Sus scrofa: one gene and its partners. The protein of the gene in region 6 purifies or fractionates together with the protein of the main gene of each other region. This does not show direct contact. Links are inferred from orthologs where the notes say so. Each region holds a gene or a part of one and is shown on either strand. Other genes may lie near its edges.

Evidence for each region.
Region 1: the proteins of SEC13 (region 6) and NUP133 purify together in Homo sapiens (affinity purification with mass spectrometry; 4 studies listed by BioGRID and IntAct, counting the BioPlex papers as one, with this or other methods). This does not show direct contact. The link is inferred for Sus scrofa from reciprocal best matches to the Homo sapiens genes SEC13 and NUP133.
Region 2: the proteins of SEC13 (region 6) and NUP160 purify together in Homo sapiens (affinity purification with mass spectrometry; 4 studies listed by BioGRID and IntAct, counting the BioPlex papers as one, with this or other methods). This does not show direct contact. The link is inferred for Sus scrofa from reciprocal best matches to the Homo sapiens genes SEC13 and NUP160.
Region 3: the proteins of SEC13 (region 6) and SEC23A fractionate together in Homo sapiens (co-fractionation; 3 studies listed by BioGRID and IntAct, with this or other methods). This does not show direct contact. The link is inferred for Sus scrofa from reciprocal best matches to the Homo sapiens genes SEC13 and SEC23A.
Region 4: the proteins of SEC13 (region 6) and NUP85 purify together in Homo sapiens (affinity purification with mass spectrometry; 5 studies listed by BioGRID and IntAct, counting the BioPlex papers as one, with this or other methods). This does not show direct contact. The link is inferred for Sus scrofa from reciprocal best matches to the Homo sapiens genes SEC13 and NUP85.
Region 5: the proteins of SEC13 (region 6) and NUP43 purify together in Homo sapiens (affinity purification with mass spectrometry; 3 studies listed by BioGRID and IntAct, counting the BioPlex papers as one, with this or other methods). This does not show direct contact. The link is inferred for Sus scrofa from reciprocal best matches to the Homo sapiens genes SEC13 and NUP43.
Region 7: the proteins of SEC13 (region 6) and NUP37 purify together in Homo sapiens (affinity purification with mass spectrometry; 5 studies listed by BioGRID and IntAct, counting the BioPlex papers as one, with this or other methods). This does not show direct contact. The link is inferred for Sus scrofa from reciprocal best matches to the Homo sapiens genes SEC13 and NUP37.

The regions. Positions count from the first base shown.
Region 1 is NC_010456.5:60,387,920-60,391,419, forward strand, and holds part of NUP133 (nuclear pore complex protein Nup133), read left to right. Parts: intron 1-1,926; coding exon 1,927-2,085; intron 2,086-2,722; coding exon 2,723-2,858; intron 2,859-3,500. UniProt on the Homo sapiens protein: Involved in poly(A)+ RNA transport. Involved in nephrogenesis.
Region 2 is NC_010444.4:14,867,556-14,871,055, reverse strand, and holds part of NUP160 (nuclear pore complex protein Nup160), read right to left. Parts: intron 3,151-3,500; coding exon 3,023-3,150; intron 2,938-3,022; coding exon 2,777-2,937; intron 664-2,776; coding exon 530-663; intron 1-529. UniProt on the Homo sapiens protein: Functions as a component of the nuclear pore complex (NPC). Involved in poly(A)+ RNA transport.
Region 3 is NC_010449.5:61,112,416-61,116,559, forward strand, and holds the start of SEC23A (protein transport protein Sec23A), read left to right. Parts: upstream 1-1,344; 5' UTR 1,345-1,538; exon of another isoform or gene 1,539-1,725; intron 1,726-1,797; exon of another isoform or gene 1,798-1,868; intron 1,869-4,144.
Region 4 is NC_010454.4:6,072,973-6,076,472, forward strand, and holds part of NUP85 (nuclear pore complex protein Nup85), read right to left. Parts: intron 3,479-3,500; coding exon 3,378-3,478; intron 1,139-3,377; coding exon 987-1,138; intron 616-986; coding exon 514-615; intron 1-513. UniProt on the Homo sapiens protein: Essential component of the nuclear pore complex (NPC) that seems to be required for NPC assembly and maintenance. As part of the NPC Nup107-160 subcomplex plays a role in RNA export and in tethering NUP96/Nup98 and NUP153 to the nucleus.
Region 5 is NC_010443.5:16,248,103-16,252,318, reverse strand, and holds the start of NUP43 (nucleoporin Nup43), read right to left. Parts: upstream 2,801-4,216; coding exon 2,588-2,800; exon of another isoform or gene 480-2,587; coding exon of another isoform or gene 447-479; coding exon 360-446; intron 54-359; coding exon 1-53. Other genes in the region: PCMT1 (protein-L-isoaspartate(D-aspartate) O-methyltransferase), read left to right, coding at 2,799-3,027. UniProt on the Homo sapiens protein: Component of the Nup107-160 subcomplex of the nuclear pore complex (NPC). The Nup107-160 subcomplex is required for the assembly of a functional NPC.
Region 6 is NC_010455.5:66,521,612-66,525,684, reverse strand, and holds the start of SEC13 (protein SEC13 homolog), read left to right. Parts: upstream 1-1,273; 5' UTR 1,274-1,403; coding exon 1,404-1,406; intron 1,407-4,073. UniProt on the Homo sapiens protein: Functions as a component of the nuclear pore complex (NPC) and the COPII coat. At the endoplasmic reticulum, SEC13 is involved in the biogenesis of COPII-coated vesicles.
Region 7 is NC_010447.5:82,139,939-82,143,438, reverse strand, and holds part of NUP37 (nucleoporin Nup37), read right to left. Parts: intron 3,388-3,500; coding exon 3,337-3,387; intron 1,042-3,336; coding exon 948-1,041; intron 163-947; coding exon 49-162; 3' UTR 1-48. UniProt on the Homo sapiens protein: Component of the Nup107-160 subcomplex of the nuclear pore complex (NPC). The Nup107-160 subcomplex is required for the assembly of a functional NPC.

The DNA of each region.
Region 1 (3,500 bases), on a different chromosome or scaffold from region 6:
TGGGGATTTTGAAAGATGGTACAGTCTTTTAGCAGTTAAGTAAATACTAATTTGTACATTATGTTTCCTAGTAAATTGGCAGAAAATCTCTATATAAATATTATTAAAAGATTCTTTGACTTTTGAAAAATACGCTGAGACTTTTATTTCTGTTTTTATGTTTTCAGTTCTAATGAAAAGTCCTTGGGTATATGTGGGTGTTGGTAGAGCTCTGGAATTTGAATAGAAGATCTTGGGAGCTACTTTTACAGAGTTCAAATTTCCATACACCTAAGAGTTTTGTTTTCCTTTTTTGACTGCGTGCTAGGGATCGAATTGGAGCTGTGGCCACCGGCCTATGCCACAGCCACAGCAACTTGGGATCTGAGCCACATCTGTGACCTACACCACAGCTTACGGCAACGCCGGATCCTTAACCCACTGAGCGAGGCCAGGGATCAAACCTGCAACCTCATGGTTCCTAGTTGGATTCGTTAACCACTGAACCATGACAGGAACTCCCCTATTTTTTTGTTAATGCTTACTTTTTAAAAAGAAAGTTCCCACTGGAGTTCCCATCATGGCGCAGTGTAGACATGGCTCGGATTTGGTGTTGCTGTGCCTGTGCTATAGGCCAGCAGCTGCAGCTGGGATTCAACTCTTAGCCTGGAAACTTCTATGTGCTGTACCTGAGGCCCTAAAAAAAGAACAAGTAACATTGTATAAAATTCAGGAAACCACTATAAACAAAAAAGATTAGACTGTTTTTTTCTTTTCAGGGCTGTACTTGTGGCATGTGGAATTTCCCAGGCTAGGGGTGGAATGGGAACACAGCTGCCAGCCTACACTACAGCCACAGCAATGCAGGATCCAAGCCACATCTGCAACCTACACACTGTTCATGGCAACGCCAGATCCCCAACCCACTGAGTGAAGCCAGGGATTGAACCCACATCCTCATGGATACTATTTGGATTGGTTTCTTCTGCACCACAATTGGAACTCTGAGGTTTGGGTTTTTTTTTAATGTGTTTGTGGGAGAAAAGGAGTGCCACGTCCTAACTGCTCAGCCATCTTGATCCTGCCTCCCCCTTTGTTACATTTATTTCATTTTGGTTTCAAAGTTCTTGTGGGACTGGTGTGTTTCTTGCAGAATCTCCCCTTTACTGGGGCTATCTCTGAAATACGATGAGACTGCAAGACATTTTTGTCTTCCTTCCAGCCCAGCCTCTCATAGCACTCTAGCATCCCGCAAACATCCTGCATGGAAAGCTGGCTGGAGTTTGGGGCCTCTCTGGCACACAGTTCTACGGAGAACCTTTCATTATGGAGTGATAGAGCCTCGGCACTGCCCAGTAGAACTCTGTGATAATGGAGATCTTGCTCATAGATGCTATCTCAGATGGGAGCTCCTGGCCACAGGTGGCCATCGAGTACTTGAAATGTGGCTGGTGTGACTGAGGAAATGGATTTTACATTTTAGATTAAACAGCTACATGTGACCAGAGACTTCCATGCTGGACAACACACATCTAGAGTCTGTGATCTTGAGACTTCAGCAATACCCCTTTCTGACTGAATGTTCTCATTAGGCAAATGAGGTGATTAGCCCTACAGTGTAGGAAATTTGTGTTTAAAACAGGATTTCTCTTCTGGAGTTTAAAATCTCTGGAAGAGGAGTTCATGTCGTGGCTCAGCAGTAATGAACCCAACTAGTATCCATGAGGATGTGGGTTCGATTCCTGGCCTTGCTCAGTGGGAAAGATCCAGCGTTGCTGTGAGCTATGGTGTAGGCCAGCAGCTACAACTCTAGTCCTGAGGACTTCCATGTGCCATGTGTGTGGCCCTAAAAAAAAAATTTCCTTTGGAAGAAATTTATTATCAGAAGTGTATTTTTTAAAACTGTATTACTAAATATTATTGGATTCTTGGCTCTTTTCTTTGTAGAATTTTTCCGACTTTCTCTTCCGTTGGTATCTTGAGAAAGGAAAGCGGGGCAAATTATTATCTCAGCCCGTTTCTCAGCATGGACAGTTGGCGAGTTTTCTGCAAGCTCATGAACATCTCAGCTGGTTACACGAAATTAACAGCCATGAATTAGAAAAGGTAAGAAGGATTCAGTTATATAGAGTAGGTTTAGGCAATTTTTAATTTAGTTTTAACTAGGTTTTTGAATAGTTGAATACTAGTTAAATACTACTTACAGATTTTTTTTAAAGTATGTCTCCTTTCACATAATTTGATACAAGTATTTTTCATTTATGATGGTATTACCATTACTTGCTATACCTCAGTTAAAAAAGAATTAAACCTATTATGACTTGACTATTATTACAGTGAAATAAATCACAAAAACTTTAACATGTAAATAGCAGTCATTGGCCTTCTTTTGTAATGAATTTTTCTTATAATAAAAATGTTCACATTACCAGTCAAAACTGTACATGAATTAAAGTCTATCCTTGATAGGGTGTCAAAGTGAATATATAATTGTTATAGAGCAAATGTTTTATTTATGTCTCATTTCCCAGTGATTAGTGTGGGTGACTGATATTTATTGTGTAATCACTCTCAAATTATGGTACTGTTCTGTTTTTAGGTTTGTTGATAGTGCCTTGATCTTCCATTGATAGAGCTTGGTTAGGGGTAGGGGAACCAAGTTTGGGTTGTATTTAACCTTCATTTCAAAATGTGAGTTAGTATCCAGGACCTTACTACAGTTTTCATATTTTGTTTATTATAGGCTCATGCAACACTTCTAGGTTTGGCAAATATGGAAACTCGTTACTTTGCAAAGAAAAAAACCCTTCTCGGTTTGAGTAAATTGGCTGCATTAGCTTCAGACTTTTCAGAAGATATACTACAAGAAAAAATTGAAGGTAAAAGACAGTATTTGAACCAGAAGACTACACATGAGTCATGCTGTCAGTGTACTCTTAGAATGGGTTCCTATTAGCGCTTACTGGGACCCACTAGAAACAGGAGCCCTTTCTCCTTTGAGGGAGTGCTTTCTGGTCAGTGTCCTTAGACAGTTACCCATTTTCATAGTCAGGATTCCCTTTCTATAGAAAAGGAATTTGTGCTTTAAGTAAGAATTCCTGAAGAATAAATTCAAATGATTTGAACAATATTTGGATTACAACTTTAGTGACTCAGATGCTAAGAACCAGAACTGCAAAGAAACTTGACGTTTACTTAGTGGGTTTGCTATAGGTGGTAGTAATTTTGAAGCTATTGGTTTCAGAATTCAAAACTTTTTGGTGTCATAATAGTGAAACCATTTTGTGTATATTGTGGATTGATATGATTGAGTGTATTGTTATTTTTGAGAACCAAGGAGAAAGGAGATATAAATACAGAAGGAGCCTGAATTGCAGATGTCAGATATAACCGTGGTTGTCTGAAAAGTGTAATTCTTGGCTCTGTCCTCTGAATAGACCTAAAAGTGGTGACATCTGGTAGCATGAGTCCACCTATCCCATACTTGGTTTGAGCTCCCACTTCTCCACAAAAGGAAATGA
Region 2 (3,500 bases), on a different chromosome or scaffold from region 6:
CACTGAAAGCACAAAAAAAAATCTGAAAAACAGACATGGTGTAGATTGTTCCCTGTATCATTCAGTGATCCTTCAATGAGAAGCCAGAGCAGAAATTTCTCTTGACCCCAAGGCCATGAAAAGCCTTCCCTTGCCAGAAAAAACTAAAGTGGCTTATCTAAGGGAAATATAAGATTTACAGTTATATATTGATTTTTTTCTTTTTTTTTTTTGGTTAAGAATCTCAGCCTACCTTAAATAACTACATGTTTTTGTATGTGGTCTAATTTTCCCTGTGACCTCCTCTTATTATTTTGCCTTTGACAGGATTTGTCTTTATATTTTATATACATATATAATAATAAAAACACACTATTTTCATTCTTATAAGTTGCCTTTAGCCTTTGGAAGATGGAATATCTCAAAGCTCTGAGTTTTAAAGGCTAATCACTCTATGGCATAATATTTAGATTTTTTTTCTTTAAGACAGTGGAAAAAATAAATTACGCTCACAATTTGTTTTAAAAATAATTAGAATAATGAAACTCACAGTGTGTCAACTGGAACATCAGTTGCTAAACACTGACTTCCCCACTTAATGAGGTAATAGGATAAGAGTAGGGGAGCTGTTCGGTGTAGTAGGTCTTGCTGAGCTTGAAAGAGCTGACCAGCTCCCAAAATCACCTGTACATGATGGGTGGGTGGGTGGGTGAAACAGTAAACAGCAATTAGCAATGGTAATTCTTAGGTTTAGGTATAGATAAAATAAAACAACACAGTTAAAAAGGGCATTCATAAAAGCAACATACCTACAAGCATACACAAAAGCAACACACCTATTACATTTTGGGGCGGCATATGGCAAAAACATCTACCCTAATAGCAGTACAAAACAATCAGAAAAAGCTCACAAGGTCATGTGAGCTGATGGTGAAACAGAGCAACAACAACATCAAGCTTAACTTTCATTAAATCTGTAAGTCCAGAACTCAAGAAGGGTAATAAGGAAATCTAAGTCCTTTCTGAAGCCTCTGGTCTTGGGTAAAAATAGATATTACCATCAGAGGAAAATGTGATAAGACCACCAAAGCCTCAAACATGTGGGTAACTTGGGACCAATCAATTCTAGTTCTTGGAATTCATCCTGGGGACATAGTCAAAGGAGTAAAGAAAGTTCTATCAATAAGAGGAAAACTGGCCACAACCTGGATGGCCACAGGATTGGTTGAATAAATTAAAATTGTACCAGGCAATTATTAAAAATAATGTTGTACAAAAATACTTGATAACACGTGAACGTGCTGGTGAGATTTGTAAAGCAAAGGAATAAAAATAACCAGATTACAAAAACGTAATTGGCATATGCATATATGGCATATGCAAATTTTGTAATTAAAATTTAGAAACTATCTGCAGAGAAAATGAGGGTATATACGAAAATGTAAATAGTGGCTAAACAGTTACAGATGAATTTTTATTTTCTTTTTGTTTATAAATACAGGATTACCTATAAAGATTCTACAATGAATATCTATTTCGTGTTTAGAAAACACTGACAAAGATTATAATTAAAAACAAAACAGAACAAAACCCAAACCTGAAGAAATGGAAGAGTCTACAAAGACTGAAAAGAACTAAGCAAGGGCTGCCCTGAGTGAGAGACTCTCAGGAAGGTTCCTGTTTCTCCCTGGTCGTCCTAAACAGATCATCTTCCTATTTTGTCCTTACTTTTACTTGAAATCCTGCCACCAGCAAGGTATTTGAGTAAATATATTCTGACTTGAAAAGTATATATACCTCTTGGGCTCCAAAAGCCTATCAGTTATTTATATATTAACATGAATTAGTTTAATCAGATTGCTTCCTTATGAGGCTCAGATAAAATTACTGAGTGAGAGACAAATGGGCCTTCTGCTGGTGGGCAGAAAGGGACATTTTTTTGAACATAAAACATTCATCGCTACTTGGCTTGTTGGCTAAGATCAAGTGTAGTATCTGTTCTTATCAGTTTAATATATGATACGTCCTCTATCTGAGGACAATATATTAAATGGATTTTTGGGGCTAGGAATTGGAACAGGAGCTTGCTCCATCCACTCTGCGCATCAATCTGGTATTGTAGTACTTCCAGGAACGGTGCACCCCCTCTGGGTGGGGGGGGGAGGGGAATTCAGCAGGGTGGGAAAGGACAGGAGGAAGGCAACAAGAATCTGGTGGCCTTAGAAGAGGATGGAAAGGAAGCACAGAAAGGAGCTGGGAGGATCCCTAAAACAGACTCTGTCATCTCAAAACTTCTTAGGGTAAATCCTATACTGCAGAAATAGAGTTTTTTTCTTCTTCCTTTCTTTTCTATACCAACATCCAACGTTGAACTAATAACACTAAACTTGGGAGCTCCCTAGTGGCTCAGTGGGTTAAGGACCCAGCACTGCAGGTTCGATCCCTGGCCCAGGAACATCCGGATGCCACAGGTGTGGCAAAACAAACAAACAAACAAAAAACCTCCTAAATCTGCACAGAGCTGACCTAGGAAAATTTCTCACTATTATACATACAAAGGTTAAGAGTAAAACAACCTGCTTCATAGATGTTCTTACTCTGTAATTGTAGGTTATTATGCGTACTCATTCTTAATTCGACATGCATTTTATAGAGTACTCACTATGGGCCAAGCCTGGGGGAGAGAGCAGTGAACAGAGACAGAAGTCTGTGCACAAAAAGCTGGCATTCTGCTATTGCGCCCATAGGTCTCGATGAGGATTTAGATTTCATAAGCTCTCCCCTGAGTAGTACTTACTGCATCTCCCAGCCTCATTAGTAGCTGCTGTAAGATCAACAGATCTCGGCAGATGAGGAAGCGAGTACTGGCAATCTTACACACATTTCTGCACACAATATACCCAGCTGTGCTACTACCATAGAGCTGGGAAAGATTCATTCGAATATTCAAAGGCTGAGCTGTAATTCAAAAAGAAAAAGTTAAATGGATTACTGTTTTCTCTAAATCAAATGAAAAAGGCATGTTTGTTGTTTTGTCATTTACCTGGATTGAATCCCTTTTCCATTTCCACTTCTGTTTCATAATCCATTTCCCGTATAACAAGTCCAATGGCATGGATTGGGTTCCGAATCTCTTGCAGTTTACTGCAAATATCCTCCATCACATTGTCTCTATGAGGAAATGAGAAAACTCCTATTACTACTGAGACCACATAAGACAGATTCTACACATCCTGTAAGCTAAATGCTCTACGAAACAGGAAAACCAACCACATAATAAAAGAGTGGAGATAATCATGCTAGCACGCAACATATTTTATTCCATGTAGCTAATTTTCCCTCTATTTTTCAGAAATGACAAACAAAATCAATGTGAGGAAAATGTTTTAAAATTTACAGCTTAGTTAATAGCCAGGCCATAACTTATGAGTCTGTTTCCAGACCCAAGTTAATGTGTGAGACTTTCTGGTTAAAAGCTGCAACACTGGAGTTCCTGTTGTGTCCCAGCAGATTAAGAACCC
Region 3 (4,144 bases), on a different chromosome or scaffold from region 6:
TCTTTCAGATGAAAACATAGGGATTATGACTTCTTAGACTTCAGTGACCTAAATGGCAAAGATACTTTTCTGGGAATCATGAAATGAATGAAATTACCAAAGGTACTATACTTTGGTTTATTCCTCATTGAATTCTAGGACTCCTGTGGATCCTCTCATCTATGTCTATTTACCCTACTCATTCTTAGACCATATTTCTTTTTGTGAACATCTTTATGCAACCTTTATATCATCGTCCACAGCTATTTTCTTGCTGCACTTTCAATTAAGAATCCTTATTAAGGTAAGCACCCGGAGCCCACTTTATTTGCAGGCCTACCAGAATTTTGGTTTTTGATTCCCATTTCCTCTTCAGGATTGTACTAAAATTTGACAAGTAAACTCATTCTCTTCTACATTACAAAACAAGCTTAGAGAAAGAAAAATATATGTTTGACGTGTATCTTATTTCTTGTAAATATAAGCTTTGAAGAACAAAAAAATTCTTCTTTTTCTCTATTCCATAAAATGCTTATAGGGCTAAGCTTTGCAGGATTTTAGATGTTGTCATATCTAGAGTCAATTTTGTGAGGAACCCAGTCACTGAAGGATGGGGTTGCCTGAGACCTCCAAGCTAGAATGTCTTTCCAGCCTGTTCTGCCTGTCCCATTTTTCCCAATTCTTTTTGTGGAGTGAGAAGCAGAAAACACATCAAGATTAATCAGCGAAACATTGTAGTGTGTGTGTGGCTGTGTGTAAGGGGCAGAGGTGACACAGGCAGTGGAGGAAAGTGGTAAAATGAATAGGCATACCTAAGTAGTACATAAATAGTATGCAAATTCTTGCAAACCAGGGATTTTGGCCTGTTTTGCCTGAGTCATATCACCAACATCACTACTGTGTCTGGCCCAATGTAGACAGATGTTCAGTAAACATTTGCTGCACTAAGTGAAAAAACGAACTTGTGGTTCTTGGAACCAACCAGGGACCTAGAGGAGAGAGTGTCCCACAGGACTCCACCACTTCTCTCGGCGAACTGAGGATCTAGCGACAGGAGCTCCTTCCTACCTCCTTGCGGCCTGCAGAGAGTGGGATCCGCAGTGGCTCCCGGCAGAGCGGACAGGAGCGCCACCGCGCAGCCCCACCCTAGCGCTCCAGTTCCGCGCGGGTCCAGCGTCCCTTCGGGTTTGTCACGGTTGCCACGCCCCTTCGGCTCCGTCCCCGCCTCTTCCCCTCCCCTTTCTCCTCCCATCCCCTCCCCACGCGCTGCTCCGCCCGGCCGGGTCCCGCACCCTTCCCTGCTGTTCTCTGGCCTGTTCGCCCCGCCTCCAGGGTCGTCCCCTCCCCCTCTCCCCTTCTCGCCCCGCCCCTCCCCCTCCCTTTGACGTGGCAGAGGCGGCACCAGCCATGTTGGTCCAGCAGGGTTCTGCGCGGAGGCCGGGGGCGGGGCGGCGCCGGCCTTGATTGAGGTGCCACGGCTGCTTCGGCTCGGCGGAGAGGACGGATTTTGTAAGGCGGCGGCTGCGACAGGCGCGGATCTTGTACCAGGTGCCCTTGTGGTAAGGCTCGACTTCAGGGCCGCCTCCTCTAGGCTCCCTTGGGGGGCCGCGGGTGTTCGGTGGGAAGCGGGGGAGGGGCGGCTTGAGCGGCGGCGGGTCGGCAGCGGGCGGAGGTCTCAAGCGTGGTGTCGGTTCTTGGTACCTCGGGCAGGCGAGTGTGCTGGGCGGCGACTGGGCCCGGCGGGGGCTGCCTTGAGCCCCGAACCTGTCACCCTCTCACCCACCACTCTCTGCTTAGTTCTACCTGGGCCTGGGCTACCCCATCACCCAGCTCCCCTGGATCAGGTGTGAAAGATGGGAGTCCCGGGTGAAAAGCAGCAGTTCGGGCATCTCCTCGCACCTCACCCTCCGCTCGGGCCAATCTGCCTTCCCTACCCCACCCGTCACCGCTTCAGGGTACTTTGGCTTCTTGGTTCATTCCTTTCCTGATCTAAAGAGCCCTAGACTTTGAACCGAGGTGACTTCGTCACCCGTAGTTTGGCCTTGGGAATTAAAGGGGATAAGGAGAAAAGTGCCAGGTAGAGCTAACACCTTGTGCCTTGATTAGAAATAGAGTTTAGTTTTCAGATCGGACCAGTCATTATTTTAGTCTGACCCTAAGTGTTTTTCCGTTTTGGTGATAAAGGAAAAGCCATAGTAAGTCTGCATGTAATCACTGGAGTATGTTGAATTCACGTTTTCACGTGGACGTCAAGTTCCACTCATCAAAGCTGTGGATAACTAGCCAAATTAACTTGGTTTAAAAAGTTTCAGATTTAAACATAAATTCATGTTAAGTCTTCCTTCTCCAGTGGACTGATTGACGGTTGTTTTTGGAAGTTCAGTCATTTTTAATTGGCTCAGAATTTTAGATTTAGAAAGGGCCTTGTAGTTTTCTAACGTAAACCCTTCACCTTATTGATGAGAAACTGAGGAATATAGAGGTTATTTGTCTAATATAATAAAGCTAGTCGTGGGAATTAGTTGAAGACACTTTATTGAGGATTTTTAGAACAGGAGAGTTGGAGAGGCACATTTAATTATTAACAAATACATCTGATTGGAATGAAATCAAATTTTACTTGTAATTTACCTGATTTTTTTTTACTTAGGTATGTGCAAAAGGGCTAACATTTAAGTATTGAAAAACTCTTACTTATTATTGAATAGGTAAAGCCTTTTAAAATATATGGGCACACATTTGATATGCTAGGTTAAAGTGACTAATGCTTTTTTATTTAACTAAAGTAACTCTCAGTGATTATAAATTGTACTGAAAAATGAGGCATTTCTTTAGAATGGCCTTTTGTGTTTTGTACCACTTTAAAAAAAAAGTGTAATGACTAGTAAGTTAAGGCTGCGTTTTAATCATATTTATTTGGTTTTATGCTTTATACAAATGTAATATTAGGGAATATTATATGCTTATCAAATAATACCATCCTCCCTTGGAAAGGTGAGGTAAGTTGGGGAGATGTTTTGCATGGCCATGTAATTGGACCAGTTAAGAAGAAACAGGTGGGAGTTCTCTTTGTGGCTCAGGGGTTAAGAACCCCACATAGTGTCCACGAGGATGCAGGTTCCATTCCTGGCCTCACTCAATGGGTTAAGGATCCAGTGTTGCTGCAAGGTACAGCATAAGTCACAGCTGGGGCCTGGATCCTTTGTTGACCTGGCTAGTGGCTTAGGCCTGGAGCTGCAACCCTGATTTGACCCCTAGTCTGGTAACTTCCATAGGCCACAGGTATGGCCCTAAAAAGAAAAAAAAAAAAAAAAAAAGGAAGAAACAGGCTGGATGTTTTTGAAATTCCTGCTGGAAAGCGAGAATGTAAGAAATAGAATAGGTGTAATTTAATGAGCAAGTGTAATCTTAGTGCAGAAATATTGAGAGGAAAAAGAGTGAGGAAGAGGAGAGGTGAAAAAGTAAGGCTGTAGAATTAGAATCTAGATTTGTTACCTGTTGTAAAAACTTAAATCTGGCCATTGCCTGTGTGTAAATGTTTTCTTCTGTGTGTAACAGTTTCATAGAGCCTTTTTTCTACTAGGCTTTCTGATTTTGAATTAAGCCCTGGAGTTCAAAGGAGGTGATTCTCAGAACCCCTTTATACTCTTAAACGTTATTGAGAATCCAGTGGGAAAAAAAAAAAAAGCTGACTTAATAGAAGACAGGTGGATTTTCATATTTACTCTGTGCAATCTATTGTAATATGTTGGTTGGATTATATGAAGGAAATCTGGCCTCCCATAGATATGTAGTTGGAAAAAGGAGAGATAGGTTAATACCTTTTTCAGATAATTGTGCATGTTCTTTGATACTATACCAAAACTCAGCAGTTTTTTTTTAAATTTTTTAAATTTTTTATATTATTTCTTGGGCTGCTCCCACGGCATATGGAGGTTCCCAGGCTAGGGGTCTAATCAGAGCTATAGCTGCCAGCCTACGCCAGAGCCACAGCAATGCAGGATCCGAGCTGCATCTGCAACCTACACCACAAGCTCATGGCAACGCCCGATCTTTAACCCACTGAGCAAGGCCAGGGATCGAACTCGCAACCTCATGGTTCCTAGTCGAATTCGTTAACCACTGAGCCACGAGAGGAACTCCTCAGCAGTTTTAATTAAGAAAT
Region 4 (3,500 bases), on a different chromosome or scaffold from region 6:
CCAGGACTATCTACCCAAAGGTAGATAAAGGGTGTTTAACATTCAGCCAAATCTTCCAGAGATGGAACCACATGCCAAGGACCTCTGACTACCAGGAAAGAAAGCAATCAAGAGGCCAAACACTAGAATCACCCCAAAGAAGTTGGTGTTTCATAGTCATAGGTTGAGAGGCATGTGAGTTTGTAAGGGACCAGTGGTGGTTTTTTTGGTCTGTTTTTTAGGGCTGCACCCATGGCATATGGAGGTTCCCAGGGTAGGGGTCTAATTGGAGCTACAGCTGCCAGCCTACACCACAGCCACATCAGACCTGAGCTGCATTTGCGACCTACACCACAGCTCACAGCAACACAGGATCCTTTAACCCACCAAGTGACGCAAGGGATTGAACCTGAAACCTCATGGTTCCTAGTCGGATTCGTTTCTGCTGTGCCATGATGTGAATTCCAGAGCCAGTGTTTTGGGGGCCTTTTCTCATCTCCATTGTGGAACCAACAAATCAAAAGCTAAACTGACCTGGAGTTGCTGGGCATCGGGCTCTCCATGCGCTGGCCTTTCTGAGATCAGGTCTTCCAGGCATCTCATCAACTCATACGTTTGCTCTGCTGAAAAAATCACCTAGGGGAGAGGTGCTGCTTCGCTTAGCTGCTCCCCAACCACAGCTTGCCCTGCTCTGGGTATGAGTCCAAGTTGAGCCAGCCTTTTGTGCATCCCGTTTGAAGGAGTGTGCTTTGGAAATGCAACCCAGGGAGGGCAGAGCACGCCTATTCTCAGGCCCAGCTCTTCGTGACAGGGCCCTAGGCTGAGCATTGTCAGCAAACAGCTGCTCCATTTCAAATTAAGTAGTCTGCTTTGCAGAATCTATTTCCAGAGTTGGCACCCTGGGGGGACACGCACACAGACCCACTTAGGAGATGATGGATGTACATGCATCTGCAACAGCTACAGGATGAAAGGCATAGAAGAAAATCAAGGTGGACTCAGTATACCTGTTTCTGTTCCAAGAGGGGCAGGGCGTCTGTTAGTAGCGTCATCCAGAAAGACCGGGGGGCAATCTGGGACGTCATCAGTGACAGGAGAAGAGAAGCAGCGTCAACAAAACGCTTCTCCCCATATAACCGGTGGAACTCACGGTACTTTCCTATGGAGAATGAAAAAAACCAACAGGTCACCCTGGCCCTAACACAGACTAGCTATTCCACAGAGCAGGGAAATTCTTCCAGAGCAGCCTCCAAGCTCATGGACCGATGGAACCAAAAGGATTCAAAACACATGCTTAAGGAGTTCCCGTCGTGGCTCAGTGGTTAACGAATCCGACTAGGAACCATGAGGTTGCAGGTTCGGTCCCTGCCCTTGCTCAGTGAGTTAAGGATCCGGCATTGCCGTGAGCTGTGGTGTAGACTGCAGACATGGCTTGGATCTGCGTTGCTGTGGCGTAGGCCGGCGGCTACAGCTCTGATTAGACCCCTACCCTGGGAACCTCCATATGCTGTGGGAGCAGCCCAAGAAATGGCAAAAAAAAAAAACAAAAAAAAAAAAAACAAAAAAAAACCACAACACATGCTTAAAGGAGTTCTGCAGTGCAACCACAGGCTGGGTGGCCTAGGAATTTCTGCATGCCAAGGGCTTGGCCAAGAAACAAAAACAAACCACCACATGCTCACAAGGGGCTCCAAGGAGCCACATGCCAGAGAATATAAACATCAAATGTTTACTGATGTAGGAGTTCCCTTCGTGGCTCAGCGGATAATGAATCTCACCAATATCCACGAGGACGCAGGTTCGATCCCTGGCCTCGCTCAGTGGGTTAAGGATCTGGTGTTGCCGTGAGATGTGTAGGTCGCAGATGCGGCTTGGATCTGGCATTGCTATGGCTGTGGTGTAGGCTGGTGGCTCCAGCTCAAATTCGATCCCTAGCCTGGGATTCTCCACATGCTGGGGGTGTGGCCCTAAAAAAACAAAAACAAAAAATGTACTGATATAAATGAAAGAACATAGGGGGACAAAGGGACATCTTCCATTCAGAGGAATGCCAACTAAAACACAAGGAATGGTAGTCAGAAAACCACCAGTAGTTACTACAACTAGTGGGTCAAAGTTTGATGAGGAACAAGGCACTTAAATAACCCACAAATTATTAAAGGGAAAACCAGTGCTACGCAGAGGAGACCCCAGTGGCCACCACATTAACCAAGCCGTCACAGTGAACTCCACCAGTAAGGGGATAGACAGCTCAGAGAACACACCACCTCAGTGGAATTCCTGCCCAAATACACCATCTGCGCCTGCTCATGAGATAAACCCAAAGTGAGAACCTTCTACAAGAGCTGAACTGACTCTTCAAAAATGTCAAGGTTAAAGAAGCACCAAGAAAGGCAACAGACACTAGTAAGACATGAAAACTAAATGCACGAATCTGGACAAAATGAAGGGCGTCCCTGATGGAATCAGAACGTGGCCTGTGAAAGGGTGTTAGATCAGTGCTGAACGTCTTAATTTTGAGAACTGGTTAAAGAACTATTTTTTTTTGTCTCTTTAGAGCCGCATACCTGGAAGTTCCCAGGATAGGGGTCGAATCCGAGCTATAGCCACCAGCCTACACCACAGCCACAGCCAAGCCAGATCCGAGCCGAGTCTGCAATCTACACCAGAGCTCAGGGCAACATGGGATCCTTAACCCACTGAGCGAGGCCAGGGATCAAACCCGTATCCTCATGGGTACTGGTTGGATTTGTTACTGTTGAGCCACAATGGGAACTCCAGTAAGAGACTGTTCTTACTAAAGGAAACACATATGCAGGTGTTTATGGAGAAAGGAAAACAGTGTCTCCAACTTACTTTCAAGTTATTCCCAAAAAAGCCTGACTGAGAAATGAGGCCAGATATGTAACTGGTGAGTCTGGGTAAAGAGTATAGGGGAATTCCTTACTTCTTATACTATTTTCATAACTTTTCTCTAAGTTTGAAATTACCGGAAGATAAAATGTTACCAAAAAATATGCCTTGGGAGTTCGGTCGTGGCGCAGTGGTTAACGAACCTGACTAGGAACCATGAGGACGCAGGTGCAATTCCCTGGCCTCGCTCAGTGGGTTAAGGATCTGGCGTTGCCCTGAGCTGTGGTGTAGGTCACAGACATGGCTCGGATCTGGTGTTGCTGTGGTGTAGGCCGGCAGCTACAGCTCTGATTTGACCCCGAGCCTGGGAACCTCCATATGCTGTGGGTACGGCCCTATAAAGACAAACAACACAAAAATATGTGCTTTGCAGAGACTGGCACACGGGTCTATGTGTTTTGGCCTGGAGAAGTCTAGAACCATCCCTCCAATCTCTGTAACGGCCCACTTGTGCTGAAGGTCCAGGGGCCAGAGGCCAGACTCACCCAGGAACGTCAGTCGATCACTGAGCATCATGGCTGGCCCCAGGTTGTCAATGAGATCGAGGTCGGAAAAGCAGCCTCGCTCACAGTAATCCCTGAGGAACCTGCAAGGAAGGCCCGGCCTGG
Region 5 (4,216 bases), on a different chromosome or scaffold from region 6:
TCAGAGTCCACGTTCCCCAAATCTCCAATAGACCACAGTGAAACATAATTTTCCTGTAAAGCAAAGACGAAATACACGTCAAACTCGCTGAAATTAAAATTTTCATTGCCTTCAATCAACCTTGTTTTAAAATCGTTTTAGGCAAATGGGATGATAATCCTTGAAAACACAACGAGATTCGAGACTCAGACACACACACCATCGATGGCTTTGAGATACTGGGCAACCGAGCATGAGACAGGCATTCAGGGGACAGAGAAGGGCGAGAGAAGCTAGAATCGGAGAGAGTTCGCGCGCTGGCAGCCGGGGGTGCAGTTCTAGGAGGGAGAGAGGAGGCAGGGGCCCGGGAGTAGGGGTACCTCATTGTCCCAAGAGCCCGTGGCGAAGGTCTCCGCCGTCTGCAGGCTCCCCGAAGATAGCGGTCGCCAGCGGGTCTTGCTGATTTTCTGTGACACAAACTTGGCATAAATTTCCTCCATGCTGAAAGCAACCCGGGGGAGGTAGAGGCAGAAGCAGAGGTAGAAGCACAGCGCGCGCCACTCAGTCCCGCCCCTTTCCGCTAAGCCTTGATTGGACCGGACCTCAAGAGGACGGTGGCTACAGAGGGCCAATTTTCCTCCGTCTCCAGTGCGGGGAAAGAACCAGCAGCCCCTAAGTGGGAAGAAGTTGGGACGCTCTTCCTCAGCCAGGCGGCTCTGAACAGAGGCAAGAGTGTGCCCGTCCCCGTGCTGTAGGATCTGCTCCAAACCTGCAAAGTCAGCATGTGAACAGTGACGCGGTGCATTTCTGCAGTAACTGTGCAATGCATAACAAATTAAAAAGCAAAAAGCAAAAGAGTCAACGAGAGAAAAGCTCTAATAGCCACACCTAAGTATTAAGTCTTGAATTTCACCGTGCATAGAAAAGATTCAAAATCCTTATATTCTCATGGAAGTACATCCATTAACGTACCAATTTATTATTCAAAGCCTCTCTCTCCCTGTCCCCCAAACAAATCCTTCTCTTCAAGGTTTTTAATACACACTATCAAACGAGTTGGAATTCTGAAGACCCCAGTTATAATTTTGACTCTCATTGCCTTTGTAGCCTTCCTCAATTCATTTATGCATATAATTAAAGATGATTTTGAAATGTAACGTCGACTGCTTACCTCCGCCCTTAAAAAAAAATTCCTTTCTGCCTCAGAATCTTCCCTATCTTTCAAGGATTAATTCCTTCCTCTAGTTTTTTTTTCCTATTACTTCAGCCCAAGACGATCTAAATAAATATATCCCTTAATATCTAGACCACTAAGAGCACTTACATTTTGCTTCCTGTTGCTAGCTTTTTTTAAAAATGTAAACCTCCCCAATTAGAAGGTAAATCCTATTATTACAAAAGATAGGACATATTCATCTTAAAAAAAACCAAACAAACCTCCTTTATACTATAGCTATAACTGTGTTGGTTATTTCTTTAAATGGGGCCATGATTTTGTGTCTATCTGATCTTGGTAGTCCTATTTCACAGCCAGTTTGTGGAAGCATCGCATGGAAATGCAATCCATCTAGGTCAGCTTTGGAGACAGTTATCAGGTTCTTATTGAAAACTGACTGGTGTTTTGCTTTTAACTGCAAGATTATTAAGAAATTAATAATGAAATAGAAAATTTAGAGTCCCGAACTGAAAATTTGCCCCCAGTATTGAAGTACACTTTTCTTTACTGTTGCAGAATCCCAAGAAATAATACATATTTCAGATTAGGGTTAGATAAGTGTCACATTTGCCAAGGACTGGTGAGAAGCTTGAAAATTGTTGCTGACACAGTGGCACTGATGTTTTGACATAGCTTTATTTCCTTCCTTAAAAGTTTATTGTATTAAGTGATATGATGACTGGATTTTTCCACTCTCGGTTCTGACTATAAGTCAGTGAGTTGGATGCTACAGGCAATGTTCCTTGTCAGCTTTTCACTCATTCTCTTGCACAGCTAATAGCAAGAAAGCTGGTGTCCAGTCTAACGGTGGAATTTGTGAGGCTTAAATAGCTGAAAATGCACACTTGTGTTGGGAGAACAACACATTTGCCATAGGATACTGTAGTATTTTTAACAAGTTCTGAGAAGCACAGCATTCCCCACAGTCCACCCCCCACGCCATGTCTCAGTATTCTTCCACTCTTCTAATTCAAGCTCTACAGCTGAGAACAAACTAGGATCCCAAAGTCTCTGCTCACAAACGCTAACTTACTTATCACAAGTCAAAGGCTGGAGTACTTGGGTTAGAGAGGACCTTTTCCTTCCAGTTCTATTACAGTTATTCAAGCTCCACCATAGGGAGCTCTGGATCTAACTGACCTATGTATTAGTCATTCATTGGGTTGGGCGAGGCAGGACGGAGAAAGCCCACCGTCTAACAACCTGGACAGCTATAGGAGCAGCCCCGCCGCTTGCAGCAGCTGACCCAGCGGCGACTGCAGAGCCACCGGCAGCTGCGGAACCAGATCGGCCCTACCATCCTTTCACCGCGCTGGGTGACCAGAGCTGTAGTGAGGCACGCGACACCGACCACGCCGGGGCCCACCCCGCCCGCCTGGCCGCAGGGCAAACCCAGCAAAGAGGCGTTGCGCAGCCCGCGGCATCAGAAAGGCCACGCAGCAGAGGCGGTGGCGCTGACTCAGCCGGGCCATCCCGCCAGTCCCGGGCAGCCGCAACGGGACCTAACGCGGGCGGCTGGGCACCAAGCCATCCCCGCCTCCGGCCCCACCCCGGCCGCACCCGAGGCCGCGCGGCGTCACAAGGCGCATGCGTGCCGCGGGGCATGCCGGGAGCGCGCAGTGGCGGCAGCAGCGGCGACGGCAGTCACAGCGGCGGCCACAGCGGGGACGCGAGCGGGGCGGTGACCGTGTGGGAGGTGGTCTCACTCTTGGGGAAGCTGCTGGGCACCGTCGCCGCGCTGAAGGTGGTTCTGTACCTGCTCCGGGTGTGCCTAGCGATGGCCTGGAAATCCGGCGGCGCCAGCCACTCGGAGCTAATCCACAACCTCCGCAGTAAGTGCCACCCCCGCCCGGTGTGGGGCAAGTGGGGAAGGCCAGGCCTGGACCAGGTCCCCCTGGGCCGCCCGGAACGTTCTGTCCCTATCCTCCTCCCCGTGCCTGTTGGAGGGCTTAGGCGCAGGGTTGCACCAGCGGTCCCAAATGGCAAGCGCTTGCGATTGCCTCCCCTGGGACCTGTCACTCTTCGGGGACGTGGACGGGAACCGGAGAGAAAGACCCAGGGGCCGCTGCTGGTGGGGTAGGGACAGGCGTCTCCCCGCGGGCCTGGGGGAAGGGGCGAGGCACAGGTGGTGGGGCTGTCACTCGAGTCCGTCCCCCCCTGATCGGGGTCCGGCGAGGGGCGTGTCCTGAGGAGTGGGATGTTGGCCAGGTTTCCTGGAGACTGGGCTGGAACTGAGGGGACCCCGCCCTCGACCCCCGCGTCTTCTCACCTCCTGCTCTGTCGTAATCGACCTAGCTGCAAGCTTTCTCTCCTATTCTGCCTCCCCCGCCCTCTGATTTTTCCTCTGGAGGGAGATGCCACCGTCTGATACTGGCGAGGGGAGGGAGAGGAAGATGAGAGTATTGTCATTGCGGATGCTGGGAGAAATTTCTGGGGCGGCTGTCCAAGGGAAAGCTTCGTGGGGGGCGGAGGAAGAAATCATCAGGGGATGCTCTTCCCGAGAGACATGTATTTCAGGAGCCGTTAGAGATACTGGGATCCAGCAAAGGATTGTATATGTGGAATGTTCTAACTTTTTCCAGGGCTACTGTATGCTTTAGAAGCTTTGTATGGAAGTTTCTTTACACCATTCTCTTTAGTTATTGTATTCCTTTCTCTGATGATAATTTTAGGGTGACGAGTGCTGTGTCACTTTCTTTTTTTAAATCGAAATATAGTGTCGCCGTCTGGTCGGGAGACCAGAAAGACCAGAGTTCGTAATACTCTCTCACTCTGGTCAGATTTGTAGCCCACTTCTTTGCCCCTGACTTTGCAAATAATCACATCCTGCCACGTGGTATTTTTAATTATATGCATGTATATATATATAATATATTATAGATTATTTAGCTTTTCATGTGTTTGTCATGTTTCCTAATTCGATTTGTAACCTCCTTGAGGGCTGAGACTTTTTAAAAAACGTATTTGAGTTCTCTCAGAGAACTTAATAATCTTTCCTTTTTTCGTAAATGTCAATTAAAT
Region 6 (4,073 bases):
CACCAGCAAATACCTTAATGAATAAGATAGAGTTGCACCATTTGTCCCAAATCCCCAATCTTTCCACACCAGGGAATTCCTTTAATAACAACTATGCTCCATGCATTGTATTTGTATTATAGCTAATGAGTCATTGTCCCCATTTTCAACTTGAGGAAAGAGAGGCTCGGAAAGAAGTAATATGACTTCATCATCCAGAGAATCAGTAATACAGCTACAGATCCGAGACCAGAGCCTACCCTTAAAAAACAGGCGACCCAAGAGGCCCTCCCCCTTTGTTCCCTGCAATATTTCTCCATTAGAGGGAAATTAAGGGTCTTGAACACTGAAGTGGGGGTGGGGGAGGAGTTACTGCTCCGAGGTCCAGCCCTGAGTTCTGTAAGACCCGACTACTCAACCCCTTCTCCAAAGCCCCTTGATAGTCTGGGTCTATTGCACTCTGAGCCTTAATTAAACTTCATCCCTCCAACAGTGACCGTTTCCTGCTAGGACTCTTCCTTCCAATTTCAGGAGAGGAAACTGAGTGATTCTGACTCACCCAACTGGTGCCTAGGCTCCATTCTAAGTCACTGGATTCCTTAAAGCCATGAGGAGCCCAGAGCTGCCAGACCATGTGTGGCTGAGGGGAGATCCCAGGCTCTGTCCAGCTGTACAGCCAGTGGGAAGCCAGAGACCTAGGGTTTGGGGAAGCTGGGGGTTGTCTCCTGGGCTCTTGCTGCCTGAGCCTGGCTGAGATCTCTCCTTGCCTGGAAAATCTATCTGGTGGGCCTGACTCACAGGATCCCAGAGCCGTGAGGAACAGGCAGCTTGGAGGTCTGTGTCTTCCAGCTTGGAGAGGGCCTGGCGAGAGGCTCAGCCTCTGGTAGGGGGTTATTCCCTGGCCTTCTCTGTCCCTGGTCCCAACCTTGGGGTCTGTGGAGAGACCAACAACAAGGAAGTACTAGGACCGGTCTACCCATTACCTCAAAAATTAATCCCCCTACAATGTTCAACATAAGGCCAGTGGCACCCAAAACCGCAGAGAAGTGGGTGAAGGTGTAGTTATGTATGAGTCCTTTTTCTTAAATGTGTGGATCTCAGGAAAAGGGAAGAGTTGGCAGAGAGAAGAGAGACTAGACCTTCAAATTCCAAGTCCCCAGATCCTGGTCGCAGTGGAAAGGAGAGTCCCGCCCCTTTACGTCTTGCGCAATCTGCACCGAGAAGGAGTGGGGCCAGGGGAGAGCTTGGCACCGCCCCTGAAAGGCCCGGAACCTTTGTGCGAGCGGAGCGTGCTGCTACCCGGAGGCTCCCTCTAGGTGCCCGAAGGCCGGCCAGCCCGGCGCCGGAAGTGAGCTGTTCCCGGGCGCCGCCGGGTCCTGCCACGTCCGAGGCCTGGAGCCGCCACCACCTCTGCTGTTGCCACCATGGTGAGTGCTGGGGACAGAGTCGCCGAGGGGGCTTTCGGCCGCGGCCTCTCGGATTCCTCGTTGCAGGGAGGTTGAAGCCCCGGACTGGGGCCATTCAGCTCTCCGTTACCGCTTCGGGTTTGGAGGGCCGCAGCCCTACAGGTCTGAACGTTTTGGAGGCAGAGGCCGGGGGAAGGCTAAGCGGAGGCCGCGGAACCCTCCGGAACGCTTCGGCCCCCGCTGCTGCTGCGTCTCCTGCTCCTTGCTTTCCTTCTTGTTCTCCAACAATGGGAAAAAAAACCCATAATACCTTAGGAGGTACTGTATCCTGAGCCCTTGGTAGGTTCCAAGCAGTGTTCCTAATCTCAGTCGGCTAACAGCTCCGTGAAGTCGGTGTTGTTATTATCGACCCTTGACAAATACGGAAGCTAGAGGTTCAGGGAGGTGAAGCTTTTTGAGCAGCGAGTGGCAGAGCTGAGATTCAAACCCTCGAAACCATTACTTTCCCCCTCCTCCCTTCCCAGCAGAGGTGTTTATGGAGTAGCTGCCTGGCCCAGGGCCCGGAGGTGTGATGGGCATTTTAGGAAACTGATGTAAAGATGAACTGAATGGCTCTCTGAGGCAGGGGCTCAGGTGTTTAAACGTCTGTGGTGCACAGTGTACATTGACTCTGCACTTATTCATCCAGTGAATGACCGCCAGCGGGAACTAATGAATGGAAGCAAATAGCCTGAGCCTGGCACAGAGTGAGGGTTCAGTAAAACATTGCTCTCAGGAAAATGGGCGTGCCTGGGGTTTTGAGGAAACCCAGGTGGTCCCAGGAGTCAGGACGCTGGCTTTGGTTCTTGCTCTGCAGGGGACCAGGTTTTAAATTACTCGGGGGTTTTTTGGCCTCTGATTCTTCAGCTGATGAGTAGAGTTGGGGGTCTCTTATGCCCTGACACTCAGCTCTTTCTAATTGAGTTTTTAAGTCATTAATTCTGAAAAGCTGATTGTTTTTGAGGGCCGTCTCTTATTAATGAAACCAGACGACTTGAGGTGCTCAGGAGGAAGGGCTTTTTTTAAAAAAAAAAAAAAAGGAGCTTAAAAAACAACAACAAAAAAAACTACACTTGTTCAGAAGCATGATTGGTGGGTGAGAGTGATTCAGAATAAATGCTAGTTATCTCCAAAGTCCTTTGGTGACCTAGTATGAAACTAGCAGTAAACATTCTTCCTGCTCCTACTTAGCCTTCAGCTCTTGACTGAGGGAATTGGGCGTAATGATGATTCTGTGTTCTGGAGAGGCAGCCTCTTCGGGTAAGAAGCTCTGTGGGCTCCAGGTTAGCAGGTGGAGCTCTTCTCCCAGTTCCACCTTAACTAGCTTTAGTCATTTGAACAAGTGCTTTATCCTCTCGGGGCTTTTTCATTTCCTTAGTCTGTCAGACAGCTCTGCCCTTTGGCCTTCCCAGTGCACACGTGAGCACACTTTATAACCAGGACAACTTGGCATATGTGGGAGATGCCTCTCTTCCATACTTGGCTTTGCAGACCTCAAGGGCCTGCTGCATAGGGCATCTAGATTTGGATGAGAGAACCCTTGCTTACTTGACGTGTACCTTTTGAACTGCTTTGCAGCCATCCTCTTCCAGGGTCCTGACTTTCGGAAAAGTCAGGTCAGACTTTATACCTGCAGGGCTTCTGCTGGAAAAAGGTGAAATGGTAAGAAATATTGGTTCCAGGTGTTCCTATAGTGGCTCAGCTGGTTCAGAACCCAGCTAGTATCCATGAGGATGTGGGTTCGATCTCTGGCCCCACTCAGTGGGTTAAGGATCCAGCATTTCCATGAGCTGTGGTGTAGGGTCACAGACACAGCTCAGATCTGGCGTGGCTGTGGTGTAAGCTGGTAGCTGCAGCTCTGATTGGACCCCTAGCCTGGGAACTTCCATATGCCGCACCCGCGGGCATAAAAAGAAAACCAAAACAAACAAACCAACAAAAAAAACTCTGTCCATTTTTGTTCATTTACTTATTCAGCAGACAGCCACTGAGTTCCTTCTGGTTGCCAAGCACTGTGATTTGAGAGCATTCAAAATTCCTGATGAACCTGACCCTGGTTCCAGGCAGCTCACCTTCTAGTTGTAAGAAGAAACAGCATAAAGTGTCATAGACATTTAGTGTTGAAGATATTCAGAGGAAGCCAGCCAGTTGGGAAATCTGGGAATCTTCAAGGAGGGGAGGCAGGGAGTTCCCGTCGTGATGCAGTGGTTAACGAATCCAACTAGGAACGATGAGATTGCAGGTTCAATCCCTGGCCTTGCTCAGTGGGTTAAGGATCTGGCGTTGCCATGAGCTGTGGTATAGGTTGCAGACGCGGCTCAGATCCCACACTGCTGTGGCTCTGGCGTAGGCCGGCGGCTACAGCTCTGATTAGACCCCTAGCCTGGGAACTTCCATATGCCACAGGTGCAGCCCTAGAAAAGTCAAAAAGACCAAAAAAAAGGGAGGGGGGAGGCATAATTTGAGCTGAACCTCAGAGAATGGGTAGGAAGGCGATGACCCTAGCAGCTGTGTGCCCGCCCCACAAACTGGGCTCTGTCACAGGTGGTGGAGCAGGGAGCAGCCTCGGGAAAAACTTGAATCAATTCTCAAAGTCTTAGGTATTAACCCTGTTATGCAAAAAACTGCCTAGAACATGAGAGTCTGTCA
Region 7 (3,500 bases), on a different chromosome or scaffold from region 6:
GTACTAAAAATACAGTTTTATCGATCTAAAGTACACAGAAAATTCATTTTACATTTCCGTCACCCAAAACAACAGCTTGTGGTCTCCTCCGATTGCACAGAGTGGGAGAGTTCTATGCCAGGAAAGGCCAGATCCAACAGCTACAGAACCAGTGAGGATGGGCTATAAAAATATGTGAAGTAAAGAAGCTCAATACATTATTGACATTAACAAATAAAAACTACCTTTCAAAAATAAGAAATATGATTGATAAATTATTTTTGCTTATGTGGAAATAGAATTAAAAAATGTGCTCCCTCATAGACGAAATACACATTATTTGTTTGCAGCTGGCTGGAATGAAGGATACAAATAAAATCTATGTATAATCGGTACAGTCCAGACTCAAACATTTTTGCAGTATAAACCAATCAAGCAAGCAAAATTATTGTACTTAAATGAAGGCGGAAATAAAATGCCTCTTACATGAATATTGGCAAAAAGTCTATTACCATTTGATTTAAACATCAAAAAATGCCATCTCCTTCCAATTTAAGCAGGTAACAGACATTCATAAATGTTTTTGGTTACACATTACAAATCCGGGGGCTATAAGTGGAAAAGTACAAAACAAATTTAAAAACACATATGCGGAGTTCCCATCGTGGCGCAGTGGTTAACGAATTCGACTAGGAACCATGAGGTTGCAGGTTCAGTCCCTGCCCTTGCTCAGTGGGTTAACGATCCGGCGTTGCCGTGAGCTGTGGTGTAGGTTGCAGACGCGGCTCGGATCCTGCGTTGCTGAGGCTCTGGCGTAGGCTGGCGGCTATAGCTCCGATTCAACCCCTGGCCTGGGAACCTCCATATGCCGCGGGAGCGGCCCAAGAAATAGCAACAACAACAACAACAACAACAAAAAAGACAAAAAAAAAAAAAACCACATATGCTACCAAACATCTCCACATTACCTGAGGGTGCCCTAAATGATGAATTTGAAACTGGCTTGCCATTTTGCCAGGATAACCAGTGGTTGCAAACAAGTTTTCATTAATCATGGACCATCTAAGAAAACATAAAGTATGAAAATTAGTACAGTATTCTACAGGTAACTATAAGCTTTTCTAAAATAGGTTATTTCACACCTGGGAGATAATAAGGACCTTCTTCCCCTTCTCACCCAATGACAAATGCAAGACTGAATTTCTTTACTGCCTTTTTCATTTTTTCTCTTTCTTAAAATATTTTAAATTATGAGTCTCTTGAGGGAGAGAGTTTTTAAAAAATAGGTTATTTCTTTTTTACACAAAAATAATTTTATAATCCTAAATTTGATAATATGGCTTTACAATGAGACTGAGAATTTAGGGAAGTGATCATGGGATACTTTGTTAAATTTCGCTAGGTTAGCAGTTCCTTTCTTATAACCAAAGGGCTGATGGTATTTATGACAGGAGATACAAACAAGGAATCAGAAAATATTTCACAGTATACTACATTAAAAAACCCCACACATTTAATGTTCTTATTGACATTTGTCTTAAAATTTGTGATAAACTCATGAGTTTAAACTCCCTGAAATGATGTAAACACTTAGAATACAAAGATGTTTAAGGCATTACAGACATTGGAATACAATGAATCAATGAATTAACAAGTGTTAATGGAGCTCCAGCCACAAGCCCAGCACTAAGAGGTGCAATGTGGAGCTGTAGGAGGGAAAAAAAAAGATTCCTTGACAAAAAAACAAACAACAAGACACAAACGGCTAAAGTCTACTTAATATTTTAGTGTGTGGCAGACATTATTAGTTGCTTGTCCAACAGCCATTCTACCTTTTTTTCTGCTAACTGAACCCCACCTATGTTCTGGCAGCATGTCTGACCCCAAGGGATGAGACATAATTGCTATAAGGCTAAGGCAGCCATCCCCAATTATGAGAGTGCTCCTCCTTCTCCTTTCAGGATAACGTGGTAAGAGGTGATGATGGTCAACTGGTGACTGTGAAGCAACAAGCCCAAAGCCTTGCCGCTGAGAATGGCAGAGGGAAAGTCTGAATTCTTAATGACATTGATGAGCTACTAAACAATCCTGAGACTACCTCCTTCAGACTTGGGTACAATAATTCACTGACTAAAATGCGTGTTTGCTTATATCTCTGAAATCAGGATGTACCTTATCATCTATGGCATTCTTACATTTAGTCGAATACATTTCTTTCTTAGGAGTACATAAACAGTAGTGTCCCCAGTTTCTACAATTTTATTGGGGGTATTTTAGATTTGATGAAATAGTGTATATAATAAAAGTTCTACTTTTTTTTGGTCTTTTTTTTGGTTTGTTTTTGGTTTTGTTTTTGCTTTTTAGGGCTGCACCCATGGCACATGGGGGTTCCCAGGTTAGGAGTCTAATCAGAGCTACTGCTGCTCAGAGCTACAGCTGCTGGCCTAGCCACAGCCACATCAACACCAGATCCAAGCCGAGTCTGCAACCTACACCACAGCTCGTGGCAACACTGGATCCTTAACCCACTGAGCGAGGCCAGGGATGGAACAGAAACCTCAGGGTTCCTATTTAGATTCGTTTCCACTGCGCTATGATGGGACCTCCCCCCCCCCTTTTTTTTTTCCTGTCTTTTTTAGGGCCGTACCTGCAGCATATGGAAGTTCCCAGGCTAGGGGTTGAATTGGAGCTGTAGCTGCCTTTCTATGCCACAGCCATAGCAATGCTAGATTCTTAACCCAGTGAATGAAGCCAGGGATAGAACCCACAACTTCATGGACAGTAGTCAGGTTCCTTACTGCTGAGCCACAACAGAACTCCTGTTCTACTGGTTTTTAGTCTCCGTTAGTAAATTTTCCTGAAGCTGAAAGCACAATAATGACTATACTATATGATGCAATATTATGTAAAAAATGAATGAAAAAGAACAAAGTACACAAGTATGTTAATTTAACTGAAAAAAGTTGCAGATATGTAATATTCGACATGTTTTCATTTAAAGAACAATAATGTAGTTCTTTACAAACATGCGTCCACCTATATTTTACATCTTTATCAGCACAAAAAATAAGAAAGCATATGCTCCCAATTGTTGGGGTGATATTGGTAGAGTGGCAACATGTTTTGTTTTATAAAATTTTTCCAAAAAAATTGGAAAAATCTTTCACCTAGACCAAAAGACAAAAGCAAAGTGTTAGGAGAGCCAAATATCCATACATTTATAGAACAATCAGGGGAAAAAAAAGAGAAAAAAATCAGTGCAAGAGAGGAATAGGAAAGTATTTCAGGAGTTGGCACAGCACAAAGTAACCAAACTCAAAAAGTCAAATTAAAACCCTAACAAAAATGGTACATTACCTGAATAAGCAGGCTCGATCCATGTGGACAGGTCTCTTATCTTGAGGGTAACTAAAAGACAGTAATTTACTTTTATGAATTACGTAGTGGTCTCAAGTAGAGGAACCTAAGTTTTAAAAGTTATTTTCTCTCTTAAGGACACAATGTCCAATATACTTAAACTG